2 linked regions of the Nothobranchius furzeri genome follow. Each later gene encodes a partner of the first gene's protein in a complex. Links are inferred from orthologs where the notes say so. Each region holds a gene or a part of one and is shown on either strand. Other genes may lie near its edges. The genes, in order: ptpn11a and pdgfrb.

Evidence for each region.
Region 2: the proteins of ptpn11a (region 1) and pdgfrb are in contact, whole or in part, in a crystal structure (PDB 1AYA), measured with the Mus musculus proteins. The link is inferred for Nothobranchius furzeri from reciprocal best matches to the Homo sapiens genes PTPN11 and PDGFRB. Residues at the interface, in NP_001103462.1 of Mus musculus: Gly13, Val14, Glu17, Arg32, Pro33, Ser34, Lys35, Ser36, Thr42, Thr52, His53, Ile54, Lys55, Leu65, Gly68, Gln87, Leu88, Lys89, Glu90, Lys91, Gly93, Ile96; in NP_032835.2 of Mus musculus: Ser1005, Val1006, Leu1007, Tyr1008, Thr1009, Ala1010, Val1011, Gln1012, Pro1013.

Annotation. Positions count from the first base shown.
Region 1 is NC_091746.1:40,326,191-40,332,902, reverse strand, and holds part of ptpn11a (tyrosine-protein phosphatase non-receptor type 11), read left to right. Parts: intron 1-79; coding exon 80-159; intron 160-270; coding exon 271-426; intron 427-952; coding exon 953-1,084; intron 1,085-1,719; coding exon 1,720-1,874; intron 1,875-1,950; coding exon 1,951-2,018; intron 2,019-2,420; coding exon 2,421-2,572; intron 2,573-2,655; coding exon 2,656-2,774; intron 2,775-2,846; coding exon 2,847-2,916; 3' UTR 2,917-2,955; intron 2,956-6,601; 3' UTR 6,602-6,712. UniProt on the Homo sapiens protein: Acts downstream of various receptor and cytoplasmic protein tyrosine kinases to participate in the signal transduction from the cell surface to the nucleus. Positively regulates MAPK signal transduction pathway. Dephosphorylates GAB1, ARHGAP35 and EGFR.
Region 2 is NC_091741.1:96,097,887-96,104,598, reverse strand, and holds part of pdgfrb (platelet-derived growth factor receptor beta), read left to right. Parts: intron 1-262; 5' UTR 263-288; coding exon 289-337; intron 338-1,711; coding exon 1,712-2,029; intron 2,030-2,106; coding exon 2,107-2,361; intron 2,362-2,694; coding exon 2,695-2,825; intron 2,826-3,206; coding exon 3,207-3,372; intron 3,373-5,392; coding exon 5,393-5,573; intron 5,574-6,297; coding exon 6,298-6,413; intron 6,414-6,555; coding exon 6,556-6,679; intron 6,680-6,712. UniProt on the Homo sapiens protein: Tyrosine-protein kinase that acts as a cell-surface receptor for homodimeric PDGFB and PDGFD and for heterodimers formed by PDGFA and PDGFB, and plays an essential role in the regulation of embryonic development, cell proliferation, survival, differentiation, chemotaxis and migration.

The sequences.
Region 1 (6,712 bases):
CTCCAAGTGTGATGATTTAGGTACCAGCTGTTGGGACGTTTGAACCAACCAGCTCTTCTGTTTTTGTTTGTGTTTGCAGTCGACCACTCGCGTGTGGTGCTGAACGACGGGGACCCTAACGAACTAGGCTCCGACTACATCAACGCCAATATCATCATAGTAATACCTGCTGCCTTCATCAGGACAGACACAGCTGTTCTGTGTTGTCCGTTAGTTTGTACTTCAGATATTTGTGTTTGTTGTTTTTGCTAAATGTGCGTGTGTTTGCAGCCGGATGTGAGCCTAAACAACACCAACAAAGTAAAGAAGAGCTACATAGCTACTCAGGGCTGCTTGCAGAACACCATCAGTGACTTCTGGCGGATGGTTTTTCAGGAAGAGTCTCGAGTCATCGTCATGACCACCAAAGAGGTGGAAAGAGGAAAGGTAATCTACACGAGTTGGGTACAACAGCAGTGACTAAAAGTTTAGAGAATAAAACAAATATCAGTCAGAATGTTTGCTGCCTCAATTTTATGATCGTTTACATCAAGTTTAGAGGAGACGTCAGATGAAGGACAGTTGATCACAAAAGTCCTCGTTTGAAACTAAGCTCATTTTCATACCAGACTTATTTTCACAGCATTTGTAAATAAGCATCTGACAGGTATGGGTTTTCCATCTCTACCTCCTCAGTGCAGTTTCACATCTGTTTCCATTAGTAACGGGTACCAGGCTGAGTTTTGTGAAACTCCCAGAAAGTAATCATTACATGTACATCAACGACTGAATAGGTTTCTAGATGACCACAGCTAATCAACATCACAAACATATTATACCTCTATTAGTCAGCTAAAAGTTGATCACAAAATCTCTGATTGCTTGATATTACATCAGGGTGTTTTATTAGTAATAGTAAAATCAGACGTTTTTCAACAAAAGCTGAACTAAATGAACATAAATGTTTCAACAGAGTAAGTGTGTGAAGTACTGGCCAGACATGTCTGCTCTGAAGGAGTATGGCGCCATGCGTGTTCGCAATGTCAGGGAGACGACCGCCCACGACTACACCCTACGAGAACTGAAGCTGTCCAAAGTTGGGCAGGTAAGCTGTTGGTGGTTTGTAGGAATAGTTTTATTGACCATTATGACTTTAGTATTAGTTAATGGTTAACTGAAAAAACATTTTTAATGATTATTTCTGATTATAATCGGTCACTCTTGAGTTTTAATGCAGGTTGAACATGAAAATAGTTTCTTACACCAATCTCCTGCATTAGCTTCTGATAGAAAGTAGACGGTGAATTGGACTTACCCATATTGACTCACGGTGGGGAAGGCTGTTGTTGTTTTATTGTCCAGAATCAGCAGAAAATGTCTCAGTAAACCGAAGATAAGCGCTAGCGTTAGCAACTCACTCACACAGCTGAAGCTCCTCCAGGCTTGTTATTTGTGGAGGTAAAACATCCATGTCCCCGAGCAAACAGAGTTAGTGGTAGAGTCGCGTTGCTGTTGTCCAGTCTGAGGCAAGATGTCCAATTATCTGCTGAGATAGGGGTTTGTGGGCTTTTTGTGGCCTGAGTTCTGCCTGCAAGGCATTCATTCCTACTGGAGACTACTGCAAATGTATTGGTTAAACGAGTGATCCACAACTTTAAATTGTTTTCTTCTTGGGGGTCTGAAAATTATTTTCATTTTACTGAAGTTCTTAGTGACGCACCATCTAAACATTGTTGTCAGGCTAACACAGAACGCACAGTGTGGCAGTACCACTTCAAAACCTGGCCAGACCACGGTGTTCCTGCTGACCCAGGTGGTGTACTGGACTTCCTGGAGGAAGTCAACCTCAAACAGGAGAGCGTTGCTGATGCTGGGCCAATAACGGTACACTGCAGGTAGGAATCTAAAAGACACGGGGGCGGCGGCGCTGGAGGGAAAACCTTTACTCCGTTTCTGTTTGGTCTTTTCCAGTGCAGGGATCGGGCGGACAGGAACATTTATTGTGATAGACATCCTGATAGATGTGATCAGAGAAAAGGGTGAGTTGGCTTTTCATCAGCACAAGGTATACATTAGCTATAACACAAAAACATACTTTATTAATGAGCCCTTCAGCTGAACAGCAGGGTACAAACTAAAACATCCCTGTTATTGTTATTAAAATATTCTCTCATCTTTGTCTCTGTAACATGCTGTGACTTTAATAAAATTCACCACATGAACGATATATAAAAAATAACCTAAAGGAATGAATGTCTGTACATGTCCTTGTATCCACGGTTCCCAGAGGTTTTAAACTTTTAGTCTGTAGTTGACAAAGATAAAGTAAAAAGCATTAAAATGAAGTTTGTGCAACAATCAGAAATTCAATTCAATTCAAATTCAAAGATACTTTATTAATCCCAGAGAGAAATTAGAGAGCAATTTTTCTGTTGCTGCAGGGGTGGACTGTGATATTGATGTACCAAAGAGCATCCAGATGGTTCGTTCTCTGCGCTCTGGGATGGTGCAGACGGAGGCCCAGTACAGGTTCATCTACATGGCTGTGCAGCACTACATAGAAACCCTGCAGAGGCGCATAGAAGAGGAGCAGGTGTGCAGCAGATGCCTTGATTCTTCATTTTACTCCTTTTTTTGTGTTTTCTTCTGTAGCCATTCTCTGTGTCTCTTCAACAGAAAAGTAAGATCAAAGGGCGTGAGTACACCAACATAAAATACTCTTTGTCTGACCTGAGTGGTGGAGAGCAGAGCCCTTTGCCTCCTTGCACACCCATTCCCACTCCCACCTGCACAGAGTGAGTAGACAGAAATGATCTGCTGTTTGACCCCATGTCAGGTTGTGTCTCACTGAGGGGTGTGTTTGTCAGGATGAGGGAGGACAGCTCCAGGGTCTATGAGAATGTGAGTCTGATGCAGCAGCAGAAGAGCTTCAGATGAGACTGACCTTCAACAGCAGAGTGCTGCTATTAATTCCAGGTAATTACAACAACACAGAAATGATAATATTCAGTGTTACATCTGTTGTTCGTGTAAACAATGCCAAACATAACCTAGATAAATGGAGATATTAACATAATAGATCAGAGCAGCTCCTCTCCTTTGGAACATTTCATTTGACTTTATTTGTAAAGCCCCTTCCACGACCTTATCAGACGCCCATGGTGCTGGACAATACAGCAGGCAACAAGTACAAATAAGATGATATAAAATGGCTATAAAAGCATAAAACCTAATAAAAGAATACTGCGCTTCGACAAACGGAACGTAAAAACCAGCAAAGAAGGCAACTGGCACACGAATAAAGGCAACTCATTCCATAGCCTCGTAGCCAACACTGAGAATGCAGTTTTATCATTCGTCCTTATAATGAGGTTCACCTATTATATATTTATTATAAAGTTACCGAATGTCTTAATTTTCTATCTTTCTGTTCACTTTAACTATGATTCGATTCAGATCAAACAAATTAGGGCTGTGCCATACCTCCAGTTTGCCACCTAAAAAACACACATGCTTCAAAGTGGCTGAATAGTTCCTGTATGTGTGGCTGCTCAAATCAAATTTAAAATGTTTTCTGTTGCTCTTACAACAGCAGTGGTTTCATGTCTGAGGCGGTGGACAGCATGAAGAGAGACAGCCGCTGTGTCTCAATTCAGGGTCTGCATCCTTCGAAGGACCCGGCCTACTCGGCCGACGTGGGCTGGGTCCTCCGTCGGCCGAGTAGACCGGATGTTAACGGCTGTGAATTTGGACAGGCCTAGCCTTCATGATTTCCCGCCACTCCCTTGGCGAACGTTCCGTCGCCTAGCAACCGTGGAACCGCTGAGCAGAAGGGAGAAGGAACTTTAAACGATGGAGCTCGAAGTTTTATTTAGCTTTTTAATAATTTCCTTGACTGTTGGAGAGCTAATTCAGAGAAAATACTTTCGACAAGCTGAGCAAAGATGTGATAATAGTTTTTAATACTTTCTAAGGGTCTTAATTTGACCAAAACCGATTTATCGCCTTTTAAGACTTTTCAGACCCAGCGGGATACCCTCTAGTAAACAATTCTCATTTGTAAACAAAAATAAAATTCAAGAGTTTAATACAGAACTGATTTTATTTAGATATTTCTTTTATATGTACATGTTTAATCTTTCTTAACCGTTATTTCTAGTAAAGTAAAAAGCTGTCAAAGTTCTCCCTTCTCTCCTGAGCCCTCTGCTGCTCTGCCTCCCTCTGCAGCCTCATGCCCTCCCTGATCAGCTCCAGAAGCTGGTCATCGCTGGCACCTTCCCCTGGATGCCCATTTTCTCCAGAATAGTCTTAACAAACATGTAAGAAAAGAAACAGGAAGAGAAAAGTCAGAGAAAGGAGGACAACAGGTTATTCCTTTCGTGTTTTCGCAGAAAAAACTAAACTTAAAATATGAGATGTTATTGTACCTCCATGCCACAGCCGCCAAATGCTTTGCTCCAGTGATCATGTGGTCCATCTCCGCCCTAAGCTTAATAAATTCCCTGGTTTTCTCTTTTGTCCCTAAAATACAAACTCCTATTAAAATCAGGGGTAAAACGTAGCGGGAGAAGTACGACACCGAGCGGCCGAACATACGAGCCGAGACCGCAATACAAGCACTTTTACTGTAACATTTCTAACTAAAATAACGTTCATGTATCACAAAAAGTCCTTAAACTGACAGTTTTCAAGTTTATACTGACATTCATATGCGCAATCCTCTCCGACAGCTCCCGCTTCACGGTATATGATAAAATTGTACTAATGGTACCATTGAAATGTCATTTGTCTTAAATACAAGTTATTTTTGTCAGCCTGAATTTATACCCGAAAATAAAACTTTATTTCAGTGAAACTCCGCCCACACCGACAAAACGTGCCTACAGCAGTGTCTTAATCCAAGTTTTTGCTTCAGCGTCAGCTCCACAAGGGAGAGACGCACAGAGACATTTTGCTCTTGGACTTTTCTGTCTCCTGGGGAGACCCCGCCAGGACAACAGAGGGTGTAGCGCTGTTCTGGGGTATCCTGTCATGTATCGGGTCCAAGAAAGTGCATTTAATATTCTGTTTATATTGTGTTTTTTGTATTTCAGATGCTTTTTGACAGGGACAAATTTGTCCCTCATTATGCGCTCACCACCTCTAAATCTACGTTTCCTGTCATTTCAGTCCATGAATAAAATGCTTGCTGCGCTTCTTTGTACTCCTCCAGTCATGAGTGAACAAAATGTTCATATTTTTAGAGTTTTTCCGCAAGGTATTCTTCAAGCTGCTCTGTGTCTACCGCTAGATATCTTTGGCTCTCTCTATGTTTTTGAGAGCGCAATGGTGGCGCTGTTGACGACAGCGACGTCCTGACCAATCACAAGCTTGTGTTCTCTGTCTCGTTTGACGGATGCTTAGAAATGCCTCTAGGCCAGATTGCCGTTATAAATGAGAATGAGTTCTCCATCGACTCACCTGGTTAAATAAACATTAAATAAAATAAAAGTGAGCTCGACTCCGTCCGTACTTGCGAGCCTGCTGGAGAGCCCTCGCAAGGACAGATAATGGCGTTGCGTGTCTTCATACAGACGCAGACCCATAAACTAGGTTTGGTGCCTACCTGCCATCCCATTTGTACCAGGTGCTGACGTGGGTTTGAATCCCTGTGGTGTTGGCAGTAATTAGTTTAGCCAGCGTAACCAAATATTTCATGTTTTTATATTTTAGTTTGATTATTTCCTACAAAATATTTGGAAGTCCAAAACATTGAAAGCTATTGCTATAATAATGGAAAAGATGAAAACTGAATTGCTTTCAAAGGTATTAATTAAAATATAGTTAATAATATGCATTGTTTTACCAGGTTGGGCTGCCTGAATGCTTTTTTTCTCTCACTAAAACACCGCTCTAACACAGAACACTGACACTTTTTTGCATTCGCAGTTTGGTTTAGCGCAAGACTGCAAAGGTTTTTGCCATCATGGGGAAGTTGTGCTTTCAGTTCAACGTAATATTATCATGATAAATGCCTTTCTGCCCCTCCCTCTCACACTAGCAAATGATGCTGAGAGGACAGAAAATGAGCAAGGGAGACAGATTACCCCAGCTTTGAATAACATCGGCCATAGTACCGCCACCAAAAGAAAGAACCACAAATAACTGACCAAATTCTCCTGGTCCTGACGAGCTCATTACTGTTGTTCAAGCATCAAACTCCTGCAGCCCAGGCCCCGCCTCGCCGACGCTCGTTGCTACAGACATAACCTGAGGAAACCTCTGGATGTGTCTGGATAGTTGAAGCAACAGATTCAGGGTCAGTCAGGAGCCTGCAAAAAATTGCGCCGTTGGCGATCACATGATAGTGTCGTCAGAAAACACGTACTTGATTAGAAATCATCGTTCAGCCCTATTAATAATTCAGATGTTCAGCAAGTTGTGTGAAAACCTTCCTAGTGTAAAGCCATGGCATTACGCGCTCTTGTCAGAGTAAATGTGAAGAACCTTTACTTTGCAGAAAGATGTTCGAGATGATTAAAACGAACTTGCAAAAAATAAAACCTTAAAACCAGGAAACTGTTTAAAATTAAGCCAGAAGAAAAACACCCTAATTACAATATGCATTGTTATTCCCTTCCAGGATCTTGATACCTGACAGTTTTCGCCAGCCACACCTTGAAGCCTGAGACTCAACCATGATGACGCAGGACACTGGGGGGGGAGAGGAGAGGGTGCCTAAACAGAACAAACT
Region 2 (6,712 bases), on another chromosome or scaffold:
TTACATGTAGGATTGTTTTCAAGCTTTTACCAATTATCAATTATACCTCCTTCAAGAAACACCAGGTCTGTCATTTAGGGTGTTTTGTTTTATTTTCAGTGGGCAAAAATATGTTTCTTCTTTTGTTTTGCTCACTTTGACTGACATCTGTTACCAGTTTTGACTTAATGTCACACGACCTGCGTTTTAGCAATCATTTACAGCGTGAGGGTCAGTAATTTACCAAAATGACTCGTGGGATTTCTCTGATTTCTGTTTGCAGAACAAGGTGGTCATCAGGCAGCCACAATGAGGAGGGTGACAGCATCCGTGCTCCAGCGGACAGTTACATTCACAGGTGAGGGTTACAATCCAATCTAGCAACAAGTGAAAATGAGGGGTTTGTCTTGCAGGAGAGCAAGACCTGTTTTCAGTACTTTTAAGGCAAATTAATGCAGTTAAAGGGGACATATTATTACCTTTTTCATAAATTTTAAATAGTTCTGTGGTCAATAAAAATAAGTTTATTGAGTTTTTTTGCATAAAATCCCTCTCACATAAAGCTAACTCAGCTGTTTATTCTTGACGTTTTCAGAACCTTCCAGAATGAGCCGTTTCAGGGCGCTTTCACTTTATTTCGTAGGGGCAGCAGTAGCTCAGGAGGAAGAGCGGGTTGTCCATTAATTGGAAGGTAGCAGGTTCGATTCCGACTCTCACCAGAGATTGCTGCCGTTGTGTCCTTGGCGAAGAAGCTTAACCCGCCTTGTGTGCTGGTGGTGGTCAGAGAATAGATGGCGCCTGTGTTCGGCAGGCCTCGCCCTTGTCAGTGGTCCTCAGGGCAGCTGTGGCTACATCGTAGCTCATCCCCACCAGCGTGTGAATGGGTGTATAGCTACGTTTACGTGCTCCAAGTTTCCCCAATCCGATTCAAATCTAGGTTGATCGGAAATCTCAAATCTCTGTTCATATGGACACTAACTGAAATTATCCGATCATGCCGTGAGTATACTTACACCAAGCATTCATTCAGATTAAATAGGTTGAGCGTGTGTAGAGTTGTCTTTCCCGGAAAAAAAAACATGTAACCGCACATCTTCTCCCTCATATTTTATTTTCTTATTCTCTTTGAGCGTTGTTCGTTAACTTACGTTCCACTACTTTTGCTATTTCTGATTTCACACACAGAGACTTTTTGAAACAGCTTGATTTAGCACATAGTTGCTAAAACCAAACACTGAGAAAATGGATGAACGGGCTATTTCTACGTTTGGAGTGTTTATAGAGGTGACAGAGACCCACATGGCAGCACAAAAGTTGCATAATATGTCCCCTTTAATGTTTATTCTCAAATTAAACAGACAGTGAAACAATACATACATTTTAATCACATATTTTATAATCACAGATTATTTCCTTTAATTAATGGAAAAGTATTTAAAGTGTAATTTGATGAGCTGAATTTTGACCTCAGCACATAGACTGTAGATCAGCTGTGAGAAAACAAACGCTTTGATGTGAAGGATAAATGACGCATTCTGAATGATTTTTAATCCATCTGTCACTGAATAGCCGTCCTCATCCTCCTACTCATCTGCTCCAGACAGCTTGTATCCATCACCGGGTGGAGATAGACCAGGATCTGACTTACACTGTTGACTTGACCTCTGAACTCGTTGCACCATGTATTTGAGCCCCTCCATGCTGACCTCCTATTTTGTTGCGTAAACTGCAGCTTTGGTGCTTTTCTGCGCTGAAGTTAGCAGCCTGGAGATCAAACCTGATGGCAAAGCGTTCGTCCTGAATCGAGGCTCCACTCTCAGCCTAACCTGCTCCGGATCCAGGGAGGCAACCTGGGCGTTTAAGACAGACGATCTGAGTCAGCGTCTAAGAGAGGGAGATGAATACGGACGACAGATTTACAAAATTGCGCAGAAAAATCTGACGTCCAGTGTTCTGACTCTGCGGAGTGTGAGCTGGAGGCACACTGGTGTGTACCAGTGCACTGATGTGATCACAGGGGAAACCAAAGAGGCGGTTGTGTTTGTCCCTGGTGAGTTCTGCTTGTAATATCTTAATATTCCTAAATGCTTTCTGACAGCTAATGAGCAAACTCACGTCTCGCTGCAGATCCTGAGGTGTGGTTCATCAGTCACCACGGCGCGGTAGCAAAGACCAGTGAGGAAAGCACCATCCCCTGTGTGGTCACCAACCCAAACATCACCGTCACGCTCCACCAACAGGACAGCGGCCGGCCAATCAGAGGCCTGTATGTTCCTGGAGAGGGGTTCAAGGTGGCGCTTGAGGACAGGATGTACGTGTGTCGGGGAGAACTGAACGGGGAACTGAGAGAGTCTCAGAATTTTAACGTCTTCAGCATTACTGGTAAGTTTCCAGGTCAGACAGTTCAGATTTATTCAGTCTGAGCCCAAAAACCCAAAAGAAATAACTCATAAGAGAAGAAACGGCAAGATTTAGTACCAGAGTTATTTCCTTTGTGACAATCGCTATTTATTATGTTGTAGTACTTTTAAAGAGATTGAACCAAAGAGGTCAAAGGTCAAATGTAGCTCTGACTTGTTAGATTCAAATGTTGTTTTTAACGTTTGCTTTTGTGCAATTAGCTGATTAATGATGACTGAGGTCAGCTTGTTGCCCCTGTGATTTGTTAAATCCATGCTCTCCCCTCCTCTCCGTCACCCTCGTCTCTCCTTCCAGTCCCCAAGACCATCGACCCCTACATCAACGCCACAAAGACGGTGCTGAAGCAGGGCGAAGCGCTGACTATAAACTGCACAGTGCACGGAGTGGAGCTGGCAGATTTTTCATGGGATTTTCCCAACAGGGAGGTGAGTGGGAGCGGAGCAGAACAAGAGCTTTTGTTTCAGCTTTCTCCTTGTGTTGTTGTTTTTGTGATCCCTGTGCGGCCTCCTGACCAAACCCAAAGTGCATCAAGATGTGAAGACACACCTCGATCCTGCTGTGTAAATGCTTTCACAACATCAGGAGTGGAGAGTGACCTGTTTCTTCCGATGTCTGTTATAGGGGAACCTTGTGTTTTTTATTCACTGTTGAAATCATCTGTTAAAAGGCAAATTAAACAATTAAACTTTATTGCTAACGCAGGATTCAAACAAAGATTGCACCTAAAACTATTTTACAGATTAAAAATGACCCCACAAAGCTAACTTGTGTAAATTTGATCCTTCTGGTTTCCCTCTCTCCTTTAGCTCATGGAGGTTGAGCCTCAGATGGAGTACCTGCCCATCGCCATCATGCGCTCCTGGCTCCTCTTCCCTCAAGTCACCGTAGCTCATAGCGGCACGTACGAATGCCACGTCATTGAAAGTGTTGTAGGACACACAGCTTCTGCCAGCATCCACATCACCGTGCTCGGTTAGACACACACACACACACACACGCGCGCACACACACACACACACACACACACAAACACACACAGCTAAAACAAACTGATTCTCTGAAGATTATTATTGGGTTTGGCTGACCGACTCTTATGTTAACACTGGGATATTAAAGCAGGAGAAGGGCTGTTTAGAGGAAATGAAAACCCGTTTAATTTGTTTCTGCGGATTATGTCAAATAAACTTCGGCCCCAGCGTGAAACCCCCGAGTGATTACCTTGAAGCTCACACCTGCAAATCAGAGGGAGCAGCAGCTCTATATTTAGACTTTAGGTGAGGATGTGTTTGTGTTTCTGGGAATTTTCTTTAAACAGAAACTCATATAAATTTACAACACAGGACTTGGAGCCAATAAAAACAGGATTCCTCTGACTGAACTTGTTTTTTCTCGTGCTACGTCCACCCCTGCATGCACGTTGGGGGTGTGTTTGCTTACTCCATCTGCAGCGAGGTGTGTTATGTTTTAAAAGACCTTTAAATAACTCAAACCTCCATGTTGGATGGAAACAGGAGACCAGGGTTGTTGTTAGTTTTGTCTAATAGACAGGTCTGCCACCCAACGCGGAGGCCAGATGAGTTTGATTAATGTCAAACTTTGCATATATAAAAGCATTACACACATATTAAATGTTTTTATTAGGCATATCACATCCCGCTCGTTAAGAGAAGATTGTGGGAATAATTTTGGTCAGACTCAACAAAAAATTCTCCACTGTTTTCTTCTCACAACATTTCTGGCCAGAAGAAGTGAACAGAACCTGAGAGGATAAACACTTTCCTGGGGGCTTGGGGAATGCGGCACCTTAGCCCATCTCCTGCACACGCCTGTACACGGTGGCTCTGGATGTTTCTACTCCAGACTCAGTCCACTGCTTCCGCAGGTCCCCTAAGGTCTGGAATCGGTCCTTCTCCACAATCTTCCTCAGGGTCCGGACGGTCACCTCTTCGTGTTGTGCAGCGTTTTCTGCCACACTTTTTCCTTCCCACTGAGGTGCCTTGATACAGCACTCTGGGAACAGCCGATTCATTCAGAAAGTTCTTTCTGTGTCTTACCCTCTTGCTTGAGGGTGTCAATGATGGCCTTCTGGACAGCATTCAGGTCGGCAGTCTTACCCATGATTGCGGTTTTGAGTAATGAACCAGGCTGGGAGTTTTTAAAAGCCTCAGGAATCTTTTGCAGGTGTTTAGAGTTAATTAGTTGATTCAGATGATTAGGTTAATAGCTCGTTTAGAGAACCTTTTCATGATGTGCTAATTTTTTGAGATGGGAATTTTGGGTTTTCATGAGCTGTATGCTAAAATCATCAATATTAGAAACAATAAAAGGCTTGGACTACTTCAGTTGTGTGTAGTGAATCTAATATATATGAAAGTCTAATGTTTATCAGTACATTACAGAAAATAACGAACTTTATCACAATATGCTAATTTTTTTGAGAAGGGCCTGTGCATGCACAAAAAATACCACAACTCTAAAGGAAAGCTTATCCTGCAACTCAATATAAATATTCTGATTATCTGATTGTTGCTGATGTCAGCTAAGATATCACTCAGATAAATAAATCAACATCTTTTTCTAATTTTATTTAAAATACATTAAAATTAACTATTTGTAGGTTGTCGTGTTGTTATGCCAACTTTAAGCTCACTGGCAGGTTTAGAATTACAGTTACTGGATGAAATAAGAAAGAAAACATACTGCAAATAACAAAAGTTTCATAAAACATTTATATAAAACCAGCAAATGTAGATGATTTTGTGACTATGGAACATATTTCAGAGCTGAAACAGAAGAAATGCCCTCACTAAAGCACATTCCCAGTTTGCTAAATGTTTTAATTTAAACACAGATGCACTACACGTGAGCAGTGGTTCATTCCTGCAGACGTGCACTGTTTGCATGTTTCTGACTAGAATAGAAAAACAGACATGCAAGAAATACTTAAAAGATTAAATAGAAAATGCTTTACAAAGGCTTGTTTTCTTCTCAGAACACGGTTTTGTGGACATGAAGCCCATGCAGCATCAGAGGATCTCAGCCAAGCTCCAGGAGAACGTGGAGCTGAGGGTGGACATCGAGGCCTACCCTCCTCCTCAGATTCTCTGGACCAAAGACGGCACCGCCATCAAGGGAGACACAGCCATCCTCTCCAGACAAGAGCATGAAATAAGGTGGAACAGCTCATCTAAATGCCTCCTTATATTTAAAGAATTATCAAAAACTTTGGACAGTCCAGGAGCCTCCAGAGGCGATCTGTCCGTCACCACCAGATGAGACCTCCACAGAGAGAAATCCAATCCTCTCCAGAGGGAAGGAAGCCATCTTTCAGCGCACAGGAACCATAAACACTAAATACCTATCACAACTCCCTAATGACCCTCAAACGCTCAACAAAGCCTGGGCTCTTGCCTTTTCAACCAAAACGATCGAATTAAATGGGATTTTAAAAGTTCATTGTTGAAAAGCCTCGAATCAATCAGTAAATCAGAAAAGTTCCTGTCCAACAGTTCTGCTTTTGGCTGAAATCGTCAGAAGATCATGTTTGATTATTGAGACGTGTTTGTCCTATTAATGGTGTTTTTCTTCTTTCTTTTTTCTTTTATTTTTTCTTTTATTTTTTCTAATTTTTACAAATTATTCATGTAGGTTAATCATTCATGTTAGAAATGATTGGAAAACAACATACCATATTTCAAATTTTTATCTAAACATTCCCATAAGAGACGTTTTTCCGTAGTCCCTGAGAGCCTCTCTGATGGAGGTTCTAACAAAACGTTGAACCTGTGGACATTTAGCTCCAGACAGAAGTTAATCTAATCAAACCCAAGAAACTCCTGAAAGATCGATGATTGTTTTTATTTTCCTGACAGCTTGTTCATTTGGCTTTTGCCTCAGGTATCTCACCATTCTCACCTTGGTGAGGGTGAGGGCGGAGCAGAAAGGCCTCTACGCTGTCCTCGTTACCAACGGAGACGACACGAAGCAGGTTGTCTTTGACTTGGAGGTCCAAGGTGTGAAAAAGTTCTCACAAACTCTAGAATGTTTAAATATTTGACACATTTTTGTTGTTTTTTTTCTCCACAAACATGTTTTTAAAGTAGCGTTTGAAGGCAAACTCAGTCATGATTAAAGCCTCCGCCTCCATGTTTGCAGTTCCAGCTCAGATTAAAGACCTGACAGACCACCACCTCCCAGGGCAGGGACACTTAGTGACCTGTGTAGCAGAGGGGTTTCCAGCTCCCATCATACAGTGGTACAGCTGTGACAGCATGCTGAAGTGAGTCACACACCCCCTGAGAACACAAGAGGG